Linked DNA regions of Lonchura striata. The protein of the gene in region 2 interacts with the protein of the main gene of each other region in a pairwise test. Links are inferred from orthologs where the notes say so. Each region holds a gene or a part of one and is shown on either strand. Other genes may lie near its edges. The genes, in order: ABHD5 and PLIN1.

What was found.
Region 1: the proteins of PLIN1 (region 2) and ABHD5 interact in a protein complementation assay, tested with the Homo sapiens proteins (3 studies listed by BioGRID, with this or other methods). The link is inferred for Lonchura striata from reciprocal best matches to the Homo sapiens genes PLIN1 and ABHD5.

The regions. Positions count from the first base shown.
Region 1 is NC_134603.1:115,045,700-115,053,901, reverse strand, and holds the start of ABHD5 (1-acylglycerol-3-phosphate O-acyltransferase ABHD5), read right to left. Parts: upstream 3,767-8,202; 5' UTR 3,737-3,766; coding exon 3,606-3,736; intron 1-3,605. UniProt on the Homo sapiens protein: Coenzyme A-dependent lysophosphatidic acid acyltransferase that catalyzes the transfer of an acyl group on a lysophosphatidic acid.
Region 2 is NC_134613.1:16,652,613-16,661,408, forward strand, and holds the start of PLIN1 (perilipin-1), read left to right. Parts: upstream 1-5,304; 5' UTR 5,305-5,347; coding exon 5,348-5,470; intron 5,471-6,076; coding exon 6,077-6,275; intron 6,276-6,402; coding exon 6,403-6,485; intron 6,486-6,823; coding exon 6,824-7,076; intron 7,077-7,247; coding exon 7,248-7,582; intron 7,583-8,100; coding exon 8,101-8,247; intron 8,248-8,796. UniProt on the Homo sapiens protein: Modulator of adipocyte lipid metabolism. Coats lipid storage droplets to protect them from breakdown by hormone-sensitive lipase (HSL). Its absence may result in leanness. Plays a role in unilocular lipid droplet formation by activating CIDEC.

The DNA.
Region 1 (8,202 bases), on a different chromosome or scaffold from region 2:
ATGCAAATTGTAGCCACCAAACCTGTGTTCAGTCACCTGCACTACAGGAAAGAAGGAAAGTAAGCAGGACCCTGTTTTCAGCAGCCTACCCACTCAGTTTGCTTTAAAACCTAGATCATGTAACCAGCAAAAAATTCAGGCAAAAATTCTGAGTTGAGTGTCCATTCATGCTGTAACACTGTGAACCATCCTACCAAGGAGACGACACAGGCTCTATCAAGCCTAATAAACTATTCCACTTTTATTAATCAAACAGCTCACTTCAAAATTGAGTTCTGTAATACTAACAAGCTTGAAGGATAACACAAAAATAACTGTGAACACTGGTGTTAGTGTATGTCTTTACCTTTACTTCAAGCCACTATTTTGTGAGACTAAAGGCCACTTACAAGCAATTTGATGTGGGCTTGTAACTGCAGATCACTTAAAGTTTTGTTTTAAAGAAAACCATTCCACTTTTCTCAAAGGCAGAAAAAAAAATCCCCAGTATTGCAGTTTAGGACCCTTTTTCTGTATGTATACATACATTTAGTAGCTGTTCATCCTAGCTATATTACAAGCCATAAGCCGTCTTGCTGCATCCACTGTGAATAAGTGATTCGATACTGGCAAAAGGCTCTCACCAGGCTGTCAGCCTCAAAAGCAGAAGTCTCCATCTAAAACCTACACAGAGGAGGTCCAAGGCTGTAAACAGGTTTGGAAATCACTAGCAGGTGACATGTTAACCAAGCAATCGCTGGCACTGTGACTACTAAAACATTTGTTTAGTTAATCTTCTAATTCAAAGTTAGGACAGGGCCATGAAAAGTTTTCATGAATAAATTTTCAGCTGAGATCTTCCAGAAAGTAACTGAACCACTATTATTCTGTTTTCACCATGCTTTGCACAGTTACCAAATTGCAACAAAGCAAGTGTGTTGCATAACAAGTTGAGTCACACTATTGTTTTCAAAGCAGATAAAACTTTGCATTTATTCTTTGCGTGCACCTGTCACTAGTAATTTAATCTAGGGGTTTGATAGTATATTGTAACTTCCTATCACTGCCACAGAATTCTAAATGAAAAATCATTTAACATATTTCTCTTGTTTATAAACCTCCCCTGGGTACTGAGCATTGCTTGACTTCAAAACATGAACAAATACTAATTTTAATTATTACTAGAAACTGACCAATAATAACACTAACGTTTCAACACAAATGCACTTTTTTAATTCATGGAAAAGACTGATGATATTTTGTTTTTAGGAGTCTTTAGTGAATTGGGAGGCTTACTCTGAAAAATACCACATCAACATCTAATTGTTCAGAAGTTCTGAAAACCAACACCCCTTAAAAGCCACTCAGCTGTGTAAACCACACGAGAAACTTGCAGTAATCCTCTTGAAAATTCAGCCTAACCCTATCAACGAGTGTCACGATCCTGCAATCCTGAAAGGCAACTCAAGTTGAGAGTGCTTGGCATCGTCTCAGCTGCACTCAGCACTCTGTGTGATCAAAGCAGACAGCTACTGCAGTTCAGGCTAATGCGCTGAATGAACACACAAACAAAACAGGCTGAGCCAGAGCTATTTTAAGATTTGTACTTAGAAAACCTGTAAACCAGCAACAAGAAGCTTTACAAACTACTTGTATTTAAGACTGAAGGGGTCAGAAAGAACACAGAACCAAAAAGGGTTTCACTTGTAGCTTCAAGTGGGTAATGTTGCAGAGGTTCTGCGGAGGTGAAAATTTTGGGAAGCTATTTCAAGTTTGAGGAAAGGAGGAGAGTGCAGAGTTACAGAGTAGACAAAATTGCATAGTGCTTTGAAAGGGAAGCTTTTGGAGTTTGCATTTGAAATAAGAATGCTGTATATATATGGTGATAATGGCATAACAGGGCATTTGGAAAAGATGGATAGTTCAGATCTGGTCGGATTGAGCTGACAGAGCAGGAAAATATGTAAGATGAAATGCCAAAATCCCAAGTTGGAAAAAGGACTAAAAAAGGAACAAGACTGAGGATGGGGGTAGTTTTGAAAGATAACAAAACAGACACATAACATGACAACATGCAAATGGCAATACATTTAATTAATAAGTCATGAATGCATGGGATGATTTTCATGCAAATAGCTGAAGAATTTTAAGTCTGATTTCTCAAAATAACGAAAGACTTAGTTATGCAAGAAGGGAGATGTAGAAGAATAGGCAAGAAATTAGTTTTTGAGGACTAGGCAATCAGTAATGGGACATACCACCTAATATTTAGAGCATAGAGAAAGAGGAAAACTTAAAGTAAACAATACATATAAAGCATATTTACACATCTGACAGAAGGAATAAAGCATATGTATGACTAAAGTAGAGCTAGTATATTCTGATAGAGCACTGTTTGGATTAGAACCATAAAATATGATGGAACAAACTGTGAGATAAGTGACCAGCAAATACATTAAGTACATTTGGTAAACAACTCAGATATAGGATGACTGTATTATTCTACAGGGGCAGACAACATATTTGGGGGCAATGAAAGGGTATAAAAAGGGATCTGCAATGGAAGTTTAAGTGTAACAAGAAATAAAGCATGCGCTAAGAAGAAATACTTGAGTAAAGAAAATGTGAATTGAAGAAAATACCATTGATTAGTAACTGGTATACAACCATTTGAACGTACACACACAAAAGACATAGTGAGGAACTATGTAGTTGCAGGCAGAAGAATGATTATTAGCTATAACAAAGTCATATATCAAGGGTGGAAGTGGTTACAAACAATTATTAGAGATACATGTTAAGAACAGGGTCAGGATAACTTATGCCATAGGAGTTATTTCAGTAGATGTGAATGCCTTGGCACAGTGAAAGGAAATAAAAGGTTAGCAGGCAAAGCACATAGTACCAGAAAAGTTAGTCCAACAGTGTATGCTTGTAATTTATAGATGTGCTCTCATCTCCTACTTATATAAAGTATAAAATGATGACACAAGTGTACTGTCAAAACGAAAATAGAGCATGGATGGAACGGGAAGATGGGGTATCTGTATGCAGGCATGAAGCCGCAGAGGCACAAGGAGCATGGGCCAGCACTGTATACAGCCGTGTGACCTCTAGGGCGCAAGGCAAGGGTGGCTGACAGTCGGAGTGCGCACACACGCCAAAGCAAAGCGGCAGAAAAGGCGCAGGGACACGCCTGCAGGCAGGTGTGTAATGACAACAGCCGGCCGGCCACAACAGAGCTGCAGTGCAGAAGGGGAAGCAGCGGGGGGACACGGGGCTTGCAGGGAGCCGGCGGCACACCCCGCCGGGAGCCCGCCCGTGCCAGGAGGCGGGAAGCCATGGCAGGAAGGCGGGCGGTGCGGCAGGAAAACATGGCAGGCGGTGCGCCACGCTCCGCGGAGCGCCCGAGCGGCGGTGCCGGAGCGCGGCAGGGCCGGAGCGGAGCGGGAGCCCCGCGGCCGCTCGGGGAGCCGGGAGCCCGCCCGGCCCCGCCGCCAGGGCCGCGGGCAGACGGGCGAGCAGCACCCGCGGCACGGCACGGCCCGGGCGCCCCGAAAGGCTTCCTGCCGCCGTCTGGCCAGCCGCGGGGAGGACAGGGGTTACCCCGCGGCCGCTCCACTCACCCTTCGCTAGGAGCCTCCTCCTCGGCCATGGCGGCGGCGCGGTGGTCGGCAGCTGACAGCGGCGGAGGGGCGGCGGTGGCGGCGGCCGGCAGCAAAGCGAGGGACAGCGCGACGGCGCCGGCACCGGCCATCACGGGCTCCTCCCTCTCTTACTCCCTCCCTCCTGCCCGCCCGCCGCCTGCGTCATGCCCGCGGGGCCACCCACTGCCCCGAGCGCCGCCCGGAGCGCCGCGGGCGTGAGCGGGCGTGAGCGGGCGTGAGCGCGGTGCCCCGCGAACGGAGCGGGCGCTGGGCGCGGAGCCCCGCAAACGGAGCGGGCGCTGGGCGCTGGGCGCGGAGCCCCGCAAACGGAGCGGGCGCCGGGCGCGGAGCCCCGCGAACGGAGCGGGCCCCGGGCGCTGGGCGCGGTGCCCCGCAAACGGAGCGGGCTCTGGGCGCGGTGCCCCGCAAACGGAGCGGGCGCTGGGCGCGGTGCCCCGCAAACGGAGCGGGCGCTGGGCGCGGTGCCCCGCAAACGGAGCGGGCGCTGGGCGCGGAGCCCCGCAAACGGAGCGGGCGCTGGGCGCGGTGCCCCGCAAACGGAGCGGGCCCCGGGCGCTGGGCGCGGAGCCCCGCAAACGGAGCGGGCCCCGGGCGCGGAGCCCCGCGAACGGAGCGGGCGCTGGGCGCGGAGCCCCGCGAACGGAGCGGGCGCTGGGCGCGGTGCCCCGCGAACGGAGCGGGCGCTGGGCGCGGAGCCCCGCAAACGGAGCGGGCGCTGGGCTCTGGGCGCGGAGCCCCGCAAACGGAGCGGGCCCCGGGCGCTCCCCAGGCGCCCGCCAGCGGCATGGCTGGAGCAAGGCTCCCGTCGGTTGGCTCCTGCTCCCGGGATGGCGGCACAGATGACGCCCGTGGCAGAAGGGCCGCGGCTTCCCGGGCGCGCAGAGGGGCGCACGGTGCATGGGGGTGTAGCCTGTGCTGTGCTCACTGCACACGGTCCTGACATAACTGCGTACACCGCACACACTGGCATACTGTGCATATCTACCCCACTGCTTTCCCACCGAGTGGCGTACAGAGGGGACACAACACCGGGCAGCGGCACTGGAGAGGTGGCAAAGCCCCCGTGCCAGCACATAGCTGACAGGTAAAGCAGGAGAGGGAGCACAACCCAAACTAAAGCGTCAGCTCTCCCACAGACATATCCTTGGCAATTCGCTCAGCAAGGCCTGCAAAAAGGGCAGCAGGGCTAGCCAGTACTAGGTGTTCCAGGTTGTAATGTTTGTTTTTACATTACATATAGATGTAATGTGTATTACATTTATAAGAAGCAAATGAGGAGTTCTGGATGCAACTTAAGTATTAACAGTCCCTAAGACGATTCCAAGTAGAATACCTATTGCGATTGTCATTTTCAAGTGTTTTGATAGACTCAAGTGCAGCCGTGCCTATGGGGAGGAGAATGCTGGAGTGTTCTTGTTTTAGACAGCATTTGGCCTCATAATATTGGTTGTGTTATTGTTCAGCTGCATAAGAACTGCATTTGTATTGGGCAATCAACAAACCTTAACTGAAACAAAGCAGCAAAGTGCAGCAAAAGGAGGAAGTGGCAAGAAGATTTTAAGTCTTGTGTTTCTTCTGAATTTTGTCACTGAGCTCTAAAGCTGTTTTTAGAAAAACAAATGGAATGATGATTACTGTTTCTTTTGGTCTTTGAAATATTTTGATGAAAAGTATAAGGTGAATTTGGTAATAGCTGAAATAATTCTCAGCTAAAACCATTCTGCAATTTGACAACAGTGATTGTTGAGATTACACAATCTCAGCTAAAGTTTGTTTGGCTGTGTCACAATGGTTTGGCAATCCTGATATTTTCCTCAGGAGAGTGTATTTATTTTTATTATTGCTCTGAAAAATTTTATTTGCGAGAAAAGTGACTATCAGTGTGTGTAGAACTATACGATCGCTGGCAAAGGTTTGTAAAGATGGTCACTAGAATTTGCAAACAGCCTGAAGCAACAGCTCTGAATGCGATGATTTTATTTCTTTATAATTCCAATGGAATAGTAAATTTAAAACCTCATAAATGAGATTTACATCCTACTCGTGGAACATGCAAGTGTTCAGACACAATTATCTCTGTGATTTTAATTCAGTGGTGCTCACCTGAACACTAATGGGTTACGCTTGTTTAAGAGTGTAATTGTACAAGCAGCTTGCTCCCACTTAGCAGTCCTTCTTTCTTTTACTGGGAAATGACTCAGTTTCTTAGAGCTGATTTGATTATGTAAATAAATCAGTATTTCTGTGCATGAAGAAATGACTGTGATAATGCTGGTAGAAGAGAGTTGTGCGTCAGTTGGCTAATGTTGCAGTGGAGTGTAAATCAATGAAGGACAGCTGAAATATAATGAGCGGCAAATAGTTCAGATGAATTTTTCCATTTTTGTATTTCAGAAAAATTTCTGGACACTGAAAATGTCTCAAAGGGAATGGTTCCTGTTATTGTTTAAGCTCTCACTTTTCTGCATTGATGCTTAGTGGGACTTGTATCTGGCCCTCATTATTGAATTAGTTTAATACCATTCTATTTAATAAGTGGTATGTTACCTGTGAGTAAGCTACTTCTCCAAACTGCATCAGGTGCAGTTTGCAGCTTGCTAAAATCAGTCTGACTCTTCTGCAGTCAACAAACTGCAGAGGGGCTTGACTTGGCCAAGTATTACAGACTAGGACTGTTTAAACATGTTTATATGAAAATAAGGTAATTTGCTCTTATTTTGACATTTTGTAAGGCCTCAGAATAGCAGAGAGAAAGCAGAATAAAATGGATTGGTTTCTGTAAATGAACCTGTTTGTGATGGCAAGAGGACCTTGGAGCTGTTGTAGTATGCTTCTGGGATGTTCTGTCCATGCATCGCTGTCACTGGAGGTCTGACTTCCTCTGCTGTGCTCCTTCAGGAGAGAAGGCTGTTTGTCAGCTGCCTCAGGAACTGGAGGTGCAGGAGTTGGAGTTAGCTGTGCCTAAGCCTAAGCAGAAGCCCAAATAGCACTGGAACACTGAAGATGTAAATAAGGAACTCTGCCCAGAGTCCTGTTGTCTGTGTTTCTCTGGGGAGACCTCTTTTTTTTACTGAGGTGTGGGAAGAATCCTGGCATTAATTGAGCTGCTTCTGCCTGGTTCTGGACCTCAGTACTATGCCAGCAGGATGTTTATGTCTTGGCTAAGTCACTGAAGAAACAAAAAGTCCTAACTATGTCAGTTTTCAGTGGAGTCTGGAGACCCATACTGTTGGGCCCTGTCAGATGCCAGTTGTCTACAGGGCCATGGCATCCCTGGGCAGCAGATCTGTCATACTGCTTTGTGGACTCTGTCTCCATGCTCCCCTCCAAACTGGAGTGGCAGTTTGAGACCAGTGGCAACATGCTTGTTGTGTTCCTAGTGTGTCTGTTCCATGTTAGCCTGTTTCCTAGACATACGTGGGTATAAGGCAGAGTTTTAAATGAGTATAGGTTGACCAAGAATCATTCAAATGCTGATGGAGATCAGTAGATCCTCCTCCACATTCACTTTGCCAACATCTTCCAATCAACATGTCTGCCTATGGCGAGCATAAGGAGGCTATTTGTACAGATTCCCAAACTCCTGGAAGCTGTGGGGGATTTTGGTGACATGGGAGGCCCTCCTTGAAGCAAGGCTAATGCTTCAATATGTTCCTTGTTCCCAAGGCCTGCCCTGCATGGGAAAGCAGTCTAAGCCTCTTGTCCTTTCACACCCTTGCTGTGCAGGAGGGCAACCTTTCTTGTGCTCCTTCCAGGACTCATATCTGATCCCACTGTGGGAGCAGGCTGTCCATGAACTGGAAAATCAATGACACGGTGGCCACGACTGTAAGGGGACAGTCCTGGACAGAATGTTTGGGGCAAACCAGAGTCTCTGTGAATTTTGGCACTTGAACAAAAGATGTATAGTTGAAGAGAATTGTAAGAAAAGTTTTGCTGGGTTCTTCACCATGATCATGTGATGGGAGTAAAGAACAGAGCAGTCCTGACTGAGCTGCTGTTCACACCGTCTCAGAGTGGGTTTGCATTCATAGCCTCTATCTGCCCCAGAGGCAACATTTTGAAAACGTGCCCATGGCAGTTGCAGTAGAAAGTTGAGTAACTGTGTGCAAGAGTCAGCTACAAGAAGGCTAAGAGAAATTTCAAGGAGTTCAAGGAGTGAGTGAACTGCAAAGAGGGGGCCTAGATACATATTATTAATATATCAGTATATTCAGCAGCTGAGGCTGTGACAGGCCGTGTTGCTAGGCAGAACTTCCATCTTGTCATGCTTGGCTATTCCAGAGTTCATTACTCACATGTGACTAACCTAAAATTCCCTCCTAGACACAGGAGTGGCTGGAGAGAGACAAGATCTCATGTTTTCAGGTGGGTGAAAAGGTGCTGTGACTGTGTCTGTCTGGGTCATACATGGTCCCTGTGAAGAACCCATGCCGATGAGACATTTGCTACATGAGACAGGGCGTGTAATTTAAGCAGTGTCCTTGTGCCACAACCTTCTTTTTTTCTCTCCCTCACCTGTCAATACATACATGAACACAAGGCTGGAGACAAC
Region 2 (8,796 bases):
TGATAACATCAGAATCCATTTCACTGGATTTGGGCATTCATGGTTTAGATTTCCTATCTGGTGCTCCCTATCCTCCCTGCTCATGACCACATGATTGCTCGTGTGTTCCTTTGCTGGCTGAATGGGTTTAGTTGTTTGGAAATGCCTCATTTTGTTGCCCTGCAACTGTGTTATTGTTCATCACTGACCTCACTGGCAGTGATGGCTGGCAGTGTAACTGGGTTAAAAGAGAAATGCTGTGTCCAGCTGTCTAGCATGGCATGCAGTTTCTGCTGCTCCTGACTTCGCAGAGTACCAGTTTGACACCATCTGAGACAAAATTGTACATTATACAGGAGATAAATTTTACATTTTTCTTCATCAGAGTTAGGCCTGTGTGTTCTGCTGCTTCCTGTAAGAAGTCTTTGTTTAATCTGTCAAGGAGATGTGAACAGACTACTCTAACCTGGACCAATGTGATCTCTTATTATTTCTGATGCTATCTAAAACCAGAACATTAAAAGGTCTCCTCTACTAAAAGGCAAAGGATGTGGAATTAAGTAGGCAGGTGAGGCAGTGCTCCAATTTACCTGAAGTTGTGGTTGGGTTTGGAATTACTTCCAAGTTTGAATATTAAGTGATAGCCTGCCAATTAAGTGTTTGAAAAGAAAAAGGTTGCTGGGCAGGATAATTAAGTGTGTTTGAGGACCAGATGTGGCCTTCAGCAGCTCTTCTTTTTAATATAGAAATGAGTAGCACTAAAAGTAGAAGCATACTGGCAGTTCAGGCCAAAATGGAGCATTATGTTCAGGATATGTATTATAGGCTATATTCTAGGCTTCCTCTCCTTTATAATATTGTTTCTTTCTCCATTTGTCTTTCATCTCCTGGCAATGTGGAAGCCATGCCTGCCTTAGTCAGAGCTGATCATTATCCCAGTGTGCAGCAACTCCTGGAAGAAAGGAAAAGGAGTCTTCATCATCTGACAGTGGAGGTTTGACCAGCTTTTGTCTTCAGAATTCCATCTTATTGCTAAAAATGTGTTTTCAGTCCCACTCAGGGGAGCTCTTAGGTGCAAAATACTTCATAAAATATTTTCACTGGTTTGCCAACTGCTTTCTCTTTCTTACACTTTTCAGGGAAAACCATTGATACAGCCCAATCCCCACCTCCCTGTGCCCTGCAGGCAAACGCTGTACAAAGCCTTGAGCCAGGCATGGATGTTTCTCCCATAGGGTCTGGTGTGGATTACCTTGTACAGCCTTTTTGAGGGAAAAGGGGTGTGAGCTTTCAGCCTGTCTCAGCCCTACCTGCCATAGGCTGGAACACACAGGAGTACCTCTGCTGGATGTTAAGCACTAATATTTGCCTTCTGCTCCCCAGCTGGAGGCTGGTGATTTAAGGTACCTTAACGTAATGTGACTGAAGCCATAGGATTGTGATCATAGGGAGAAAATCCTTTTAGTGCCTTTTTTTGTACTCTTTTTCATACAGCAGTTGGAGTAAGAATAAGATGTTTGATTATAAGCAATAAACTGTGATAAGTGTGACACTGTGTCTGTGTATAACTTGGAAGGTGGTGTAAAGAGGTGCTGAAGGAGGAGGAATTCCTCCCATCTCTGAATTTTATGAAGGGTGACACTCTTAAAAAGACATTGTCTGTGGTTAGATTCTAGAGCTTTCCTTTTGCAGTAGCCAATTGGCAGCTAGATTTATCCAGCTAATTTGGAATCACAAATTCAGCTGCAAAAACATTAAGAAATACATGAGTATCACATGAAACTGCATCCTTAGAATGCCCTGAAACAAGGTTTTTGGGAATTGCCATCAGCTTCCTGTGAGTACCAGCAGGGAGGGCTGGAGCCTTATGGCCAGTGTAGGCACAGCTGGGTGAAAGGGACAGGAGAAGCTGCATTTCAGTGTCTTATAAACAGCTTTTCATTTGGATGGTGATAGTTTAGTGACAAATGCCAGTTCAGGGAGGGAACAAAAGGTAACATCTTGGGCAGAGGGGGCAAGGGATGGAGCCAGGATAACCATTAAACTGAGCTCACTGTTAGCTCCTACCCCCTGCAGGGAGAGTCTTGCAAACTTGGAAGCTCCAAAATGTCAGCTCCTGAGCAATGTATAAAGCATGGCATTCAGGAGTGCTTTAGCAAGAGTTTCCTTCTGGATTAGTGGCCTCATACACATTTTGTAATGGAAGTAGTATGAGAGGTTTTCTTCTCTTCTGCTTACAGACAAGGCCTTCCTAACATTAACACTGTGCTTGGCATGACATTTCAAGGAATATGTGAGCCATTGGGGATTCCCAGGTGAGCATCCAGAGCAGGCAAAGGTTAAAAACCAACATCTCCGGGGAGATACCAAATACACCCATTCTGTAGAGGCAGTGTGACTGGGGGAGGGTGTGAACAGTCTTCCAAGTGTCCCAAAGCTTTTCTGCCAAGAGCAAGGCAATAAATTTGCCTCCAAATCCTGGAGATATATTGCCACAAAGAATTAAAGCACACCTATTTTTTTAACTGAAAGTAAAATAAAAAATCTAAATAGCTTGCCTAGGAGGGCATCCTTAAAAAGAAACTGGGGACACATCTGCCAGCAGTGGTTATGGGGTTGCTGATCCTGAATGGAAATGAATTAGATACTTCTCCAGCCCCCTCCCAGACCAAAGTATGAAGGTGCCTTGCAGGCACATTTGTGGATCTGGCTCATCCCCTCACTGTGGAGTATTACTGAGTATGGAGCAGACTGCAGGGAAGTGACACTGCTTCCCTGTATCCTGTGTATCTGTGAGCTCTAAACATTGCCTGCAGGAGCACAGGAGTGTTTCTGGTGCAAGCTGGAGTGCTGGGGCAGGGAGGCCGTGGTACCTTTGCCCTGCAGAGCTGGGGCTGGCACAGCCTTTGCCCCAGAGGAAGGGGAGGGGATGAGCACAGGCATTAGTAGGGCAAAGGCTGTGTTGGCTCCTGACTCCAGACAAGGGGAAGAGGAGGTTGCTGTGCCCTCTGCACTTTTAGCCAGGGGGGCTGGAAAAAATCTCAGTTTGCCAAGAGAGCAAGCTTCCAAGCAGGCTGGTGCCCTTTATCCCTCTGTCTCAAGGGCAGTGACTGACCCCAGCACCAGCTGGAAGCAGCCCAGAACATTCATGTGCCTCTGTACCCAGCCAACAAGGCAGGCACAGCCCCGGGCTGGGAGCAAATGGGAAGGAATGGGAGTATTTTCTTTCCATCTCTGCTTTTCCCATGCCCCTGAGAAGCCTCCCACCCCCATGTAGGAGCAGTGCAGCCACAAGCAGAGAGCCACGGGGCTGTGTTGGATGCTCACCTGCATGTGCTGAATGGGAGTGCTGGGCAGCTGTGGGAATTGGGGGCCACATGCCAAGGGGCTCCCTGCCTCACCAGCTGATCCAGGACACACAGCAGCCCTGGACCTCTCATCTGCACTGATTTCCCTGATTATTGCCTTGTCCTCTGGCATTTGTCCTCTTTCCACCACACTGTCCTCGTCTCATCAGTGTGGCTTGTCTGTAGTCAATAACCAAAACTTGGCATGGTCCCATACAGGTGGTGTGGTCTTCTTTTCAGTCAGTACCACAAATGGGTTTGCTAACAATGGTGTGAGTCCTCAGTGTGCCTCCTGTGCATTCAGGCCATGGAAGATCAGCATTTTAGTGAGAGCACTGCTGGTTGGTCAAGGAGAGCAGTTGTTCCTCTACAAAGCATTTGTGAATTTGGGGAACCACCTCTTGTTTTAGTCCCACCATCACAAGAGACGTCTTGAATAGTCTTTCAGAAGATCACTGAGAGAGTAAGGCATTCAGGGGCATGGAACACAGGCTGCACCAGCACAAAGTGGGGCAAAAACTCTGCTCAGAAGTGCACAAAGCAAAGATAGGAGATGTCAGGTACAACAAAGAAAATTCCAGCTGGACATTAGAAAAAATATTTTAACCATTAGTATGGTTAGCACAGGAACTGGGAAATCCCCTCACTGGAAGTTTTTAAGACTGGACAAGACCTAGAGCAGCCTGATCTGGCTTTCAGGGTAGCCTTGCTTTGAGCAAGAGTTGAACGAGGTGATCTTCAGAGATCAGTTCTAAACTGATCTTTTTCTCCATCTACCCCAAATGCCTAAAACTTTCCTAATGAAGTGTCTGCCCTGACCCTCAGCTACAGCCTCCTCACCAAAAGTCTCATGAATCATCTTAGAAATTGCAGACCTGGCCAAACCAGATTGCTTCAAGTAGAATATGTTCCCCACATCTCCCTTCTGCTCCTTGTGCTTAGTAAACTCTCCTGGGGAGGAACCACATTCTTGTTCTATGTTAGGTTTCCCAGCAGGATCGTACCCTAGTCCACCGTGAGGCACAGGAGGGCTTACAGAAATACAGGAGGGTTTTAATCTCTTAGGAAACCCTGACTATTCACCTTCTCCCTGTCTGCTCATGATCTGTTGCTTTCGAGCTGGTGAGGTCCCAGGGCAGCTTCTTCTCATCTTCTGTGGAAGGAGTGAGAAGCCACCCCAAAATGTTTCAGCCATGCTGCGGCTTCTGGACTGTGCAGGGAAGGCGACCAAGGGGATTTTCTGCCATCATCTGTTCCCAATTACGGTGGTTTCAGGGAGCTCCTTGGCCCATTTCCACCACAATCCATCAGCTCCCGAGCCCACGCAACTGGGAGGTGGGGCCTCGTGGTGGTGGTAGTGGCCAGAGCACGACACATCACCCTCACAGGACCAGGGTGAAGGCACAGTGCAGACACCACTCTCTGCCCCTGCTCTGCTGGGAACGGGCTGGCCCTTGGTGAGTAGTCTGTGCCCACTGGGTGCTCCGGGACAGCTTCACTGGGACCAGGGAGTGAGAGCAGGGATCACCCATTCTCTCTAGATTTCCAGAATTTCATCTGCTGCTAAGAAAAAGGGGACTGTGTTGGGGCTGGAGCTGAGTTTTCATCAGGATGAGTGCTGGCATTATGAGCAGCAGATATGTATGAGGGAGATGCTGACCTCAGCTGGATATCTCACCATATCCCTACCCATTGCTTTTCTATCTGCTCCTGTCCTGCCTTCTTACCCCTTCTCAGGCAGAGTCCACTCTCATGCACATCTGTTAGCATCCTGGTTGCTCTGAGTTTGCTTTGCCAGCATACTTTACCCTGCCCTTACCATAACTTCCCTAAACTACATGCTTCTGAATGAATTTTTTCATATCTTTGGGTGTTAAGGCACACAGGCAGGGCAGGGCTGCACGGAGGCTTTGGTTATACAGCTTAACTGGTAAAAAGTCAAGTGTTGGGCAATGCCACGTCCATTGCACCCACGGGAGGTGTGTGTCAGCCCAGCTGCTGTGCTTGGGGGTGCAGGAGTGATGGGGAGCCCAAGCCCAGCCCTGCTTTCAGGCAGAGTCTGCGGTTCCCAACTTTGCTTTGCAGGTGGATGCGCCACAATGACGGTGAAGAAGACTCAGGCTCTGCAGGATGGAAGTGCCAAGGTGGGTGCAGGAAAAGGGAGAGAGAAAAGGGTAGAGATGTGCCAAGGGGGCCAGGTAGTGTGTGTTGACTGTGCTGGATGAATATCAGCCACACCTCACACTGTCTCACCTGTTCCCATATTCTCTTTATATGATCTTTACCTGCAGTAGTATGGAGCATCATCAAAGGGAAAGAACAAACCTTTTTGCGTACTTGAAATTAAATAGTTCAGATTCAAAAAGGTACCCTTGAGCTGATGAAAGTACTAAGTGATAGCTGCCAACTGAGCCTGTCCTTCATCTGTGCCCCATTTAGTTCCCAGACCTCCAGCAGTCATGGAGGTTTCCACAGGGTGGAAGGCCAGAGGGAGCACCTAAACAGCTGGATTAGGATATTGGAGGAGTGGAGACCGATGCCTGTGGTGTCCCTGCTCCCTCAGTGGCAGCCAGCCTGCTTGTCCTTACTCAGCATACTTGGGAGACCCTCAGTGGGGCTAGAGAAACAGCCCCTTCCTCTTCCTGTGCAAGCCGAGGTCACTGCAACCCTCCAAGAGCCGCTGGCTGTGGGCAGTGGGGCATTCCTGGGGGAAGAGCTGTTTCTGACCCACGTCCGTGCACCATGCACAGGAGAACGTGCTGCAGAGGGTGCTGCAGCTGCCCGTGGTGAGCTCGACGTGCGAGACGCTGCAGCGCAAGTACAGCAGCACCAAGGAGTCCCACCCGCTGATGGCCTCGGTGTGCGAGGTGTACGAGCGGGGCGTGCAGGGCGCCGGCGCCCTGGCCATGTGGGGCATGGAGCCCGTGGTGCGCCGGCTGGAGCCGCAGTGTGAGTCCGTGTGCCGGGGGGACGTGGCAGGGGGGCCTGGCAGAGCATCCCTGGGGGGACAGCGCTGGCACAAGCACGCGCTGGCACGGCCCAGGCGCTCTTCTTACCGCGCTCTTGCCCACGGCAGTCGCTGTGGCCAACAACCTGGCTTGCCGGGGCTTGGACCACCTAGAGGAGAAGATCCCTGCTCTGCAGTACCCTGTTGACAAGGTAAGTCACAGGCAGGACAATCTGGGACACCCCCCCCCCCCCCCCCAGTACATCTCCTCTAGTCTTGTTTCTGCATGGCTGGGAAACAAGGCAGCATCTCCCAGTGAGGGCTCCTCCAAGGGCCTCTGCAGGCTAAACGATGGCTGGGGCTCCCAAATATAAGTCAGCAGTGTCGTGTGTCCCATCCCTGACAGCTGCCTCCAGCCCAAGTTGGAGAGAGCTGTCATGCCCCTCTTGGAGCTGTTAACTGGCATGGCTGGGGTCCCTGCGGTCCCTCTGTCTGTCCTATGCCACCCCAAGCACACCAGAGGGGCTGTTCTCCATCTCCCTGCCCACAGCTCGCATCTGAACTGAAGGACACCATCTCCTGCCCCCTCCAAAGTGCCAAAAGCACCATTGGCAGCTCCATGGATAAGATCATAGAGCTGGCAGCGGAGGGCTATGAGGCCACCAAGAACACGGTGGAAACGACAGCCAAGTACACAAGGAAGAACTCAGTGACCCAGATGGCAGCTGCAGGGGTCGACACAGCCCTGGGAGGGCTGGAGAAGCTGATGGAATACCTGCTGCCAGAGGAGGATGAAGAAGCAGGTAGTCCTGATGCCCCAAATTCCCTCTGAGGGAATCTGGAGACAACTGGCTGGGTGGCTCCTCAGTTGTAGGGTGCATGGGGCAGGAGGCAGCTCCTGGATTTTGGCATAAGGCTGCCTAGGAGGGTTGTCTCACCAGAATGTAACCTTCCCACCATTCTTCTACCTTTAGATAAGAAGCCCAAAAAGAAACGTCTGTCAACATCAAAGGTGTCCCAGCAGCAGCCCAGCACTACCACCACTCCCTGCACTCCCAGTTCTCCCAGTGCTACCAGGGCTCCCAGTGCTTACAGCACTGCCAGGGCTCCCAGTGCTCCCAGGGCATCCAGCACACCCAGCACTCCCAGCACTCCCAGTGCTCCCAGTGCTCCCAGTGCTCCCAGCACCCTGGGCCGGATTGGCGCTTTGGTCAGCACCGTGTCCCACCGAGCTTACCAGCAAACCACCCAAAGCCTCCAGCGTGCCAAAACCAAAGGGCAGGAGCTGGCCTCCTGGATACCCATCCTGGTGAGTGCCAGAACCCAACTGCTGGGTTCCTGCTCCCCCATATCCTCTTTTGAGCTGATTTTGCTTTCAGAATGGACATTTCAGGCTCCTTGGAGCAAATCTGAGCAGAGTTCACTTCCCCTGCTCAGCAGGACAAGTTGGGCCTGGCGGTTCCTGCGTGATGTTCACACATAACCATGTACCACAATAGTGGGACAAGTTATTTTTAGCAGCTTCCCAGCATGTAATTGTTGATTTATGGCCTTGCCATAACATCCTTCCTAAAGCAAAAAGCCCCTGCAGAGACCCAGAGGGGATGGGGAGAAGGAGGTACTTTTCCTACCCTGTGCTGCAGTGGGAACAACTTCCCTGACCTGTGCCAAAATCCCAGAGCTCCCATCTGCCCTCAGGATTTCTCCCCAGATGCACAAATGAACTCCCTGCTCCCTGTGCACCCCCGTGAAATCCAGGCTAAACAGGAGGGAGTGGATGGGACCAGCCAGCTCCCTCTGAGCGGTGGCGTTTCGCTCCCCTTCCAGGGAAGCCTGGCCAAGCCGAGCGCCCCTGCGGCCCCTCAGGCCCGCAGTGATGGGCAGGGCAGTGCAGGATGGCTGACCCGGCGCCAGAGCAAGGCACCGGAGCAGAAGCAGGAGAAGGCAGGGAAGAAAGACACCAACCACACCAAGGTATGGAGAAAAGCAGAGCAGTGAGCTAGCAATGCTCCAAAGCATCCTCCTACCCATGGACCATGGGGGCTGTTTCCCCATACCTTTGGGGACTAAGCCCCTAGCCCTGCTCAATTCTGAAATGCAGCTCAGAGAATGCAAGAGTGGGTTGGCAGCCCCAGGAGTCCCCTTCCCTTTCCCCAGAGCTGGGAGCTGTGGGCAGCCTCTGTGCCAGGCAAAATCACCCTGGCTTGTAGGTTCAAAACTCCTTTGGAGGTGTGGGATGTCAGCACTGAACTCCCTATTGATCCCCTGAACACCCCTGAGAAATCCCCCACTGTGGTCCCAGCAGGGAGGGGTGGTGTGACCGGTGGGGCTGGGAACAGGCTCCTGCATGGCTCCGCTGGGACCTGGGGACGGGAAGCAGCAGGTTGGGGTCGGAGCCCTTTGCCTCTGACTGCAGCGGAAGCACAGCCTGGAGCAGAGGGTCCCCCGGGGCCTGGAGTGGGGGGAGCTGGCACCGACCCTGCTGCAAAGAGCTGTGCTGGCTTTTGCAGAGCAGCGAGCTGA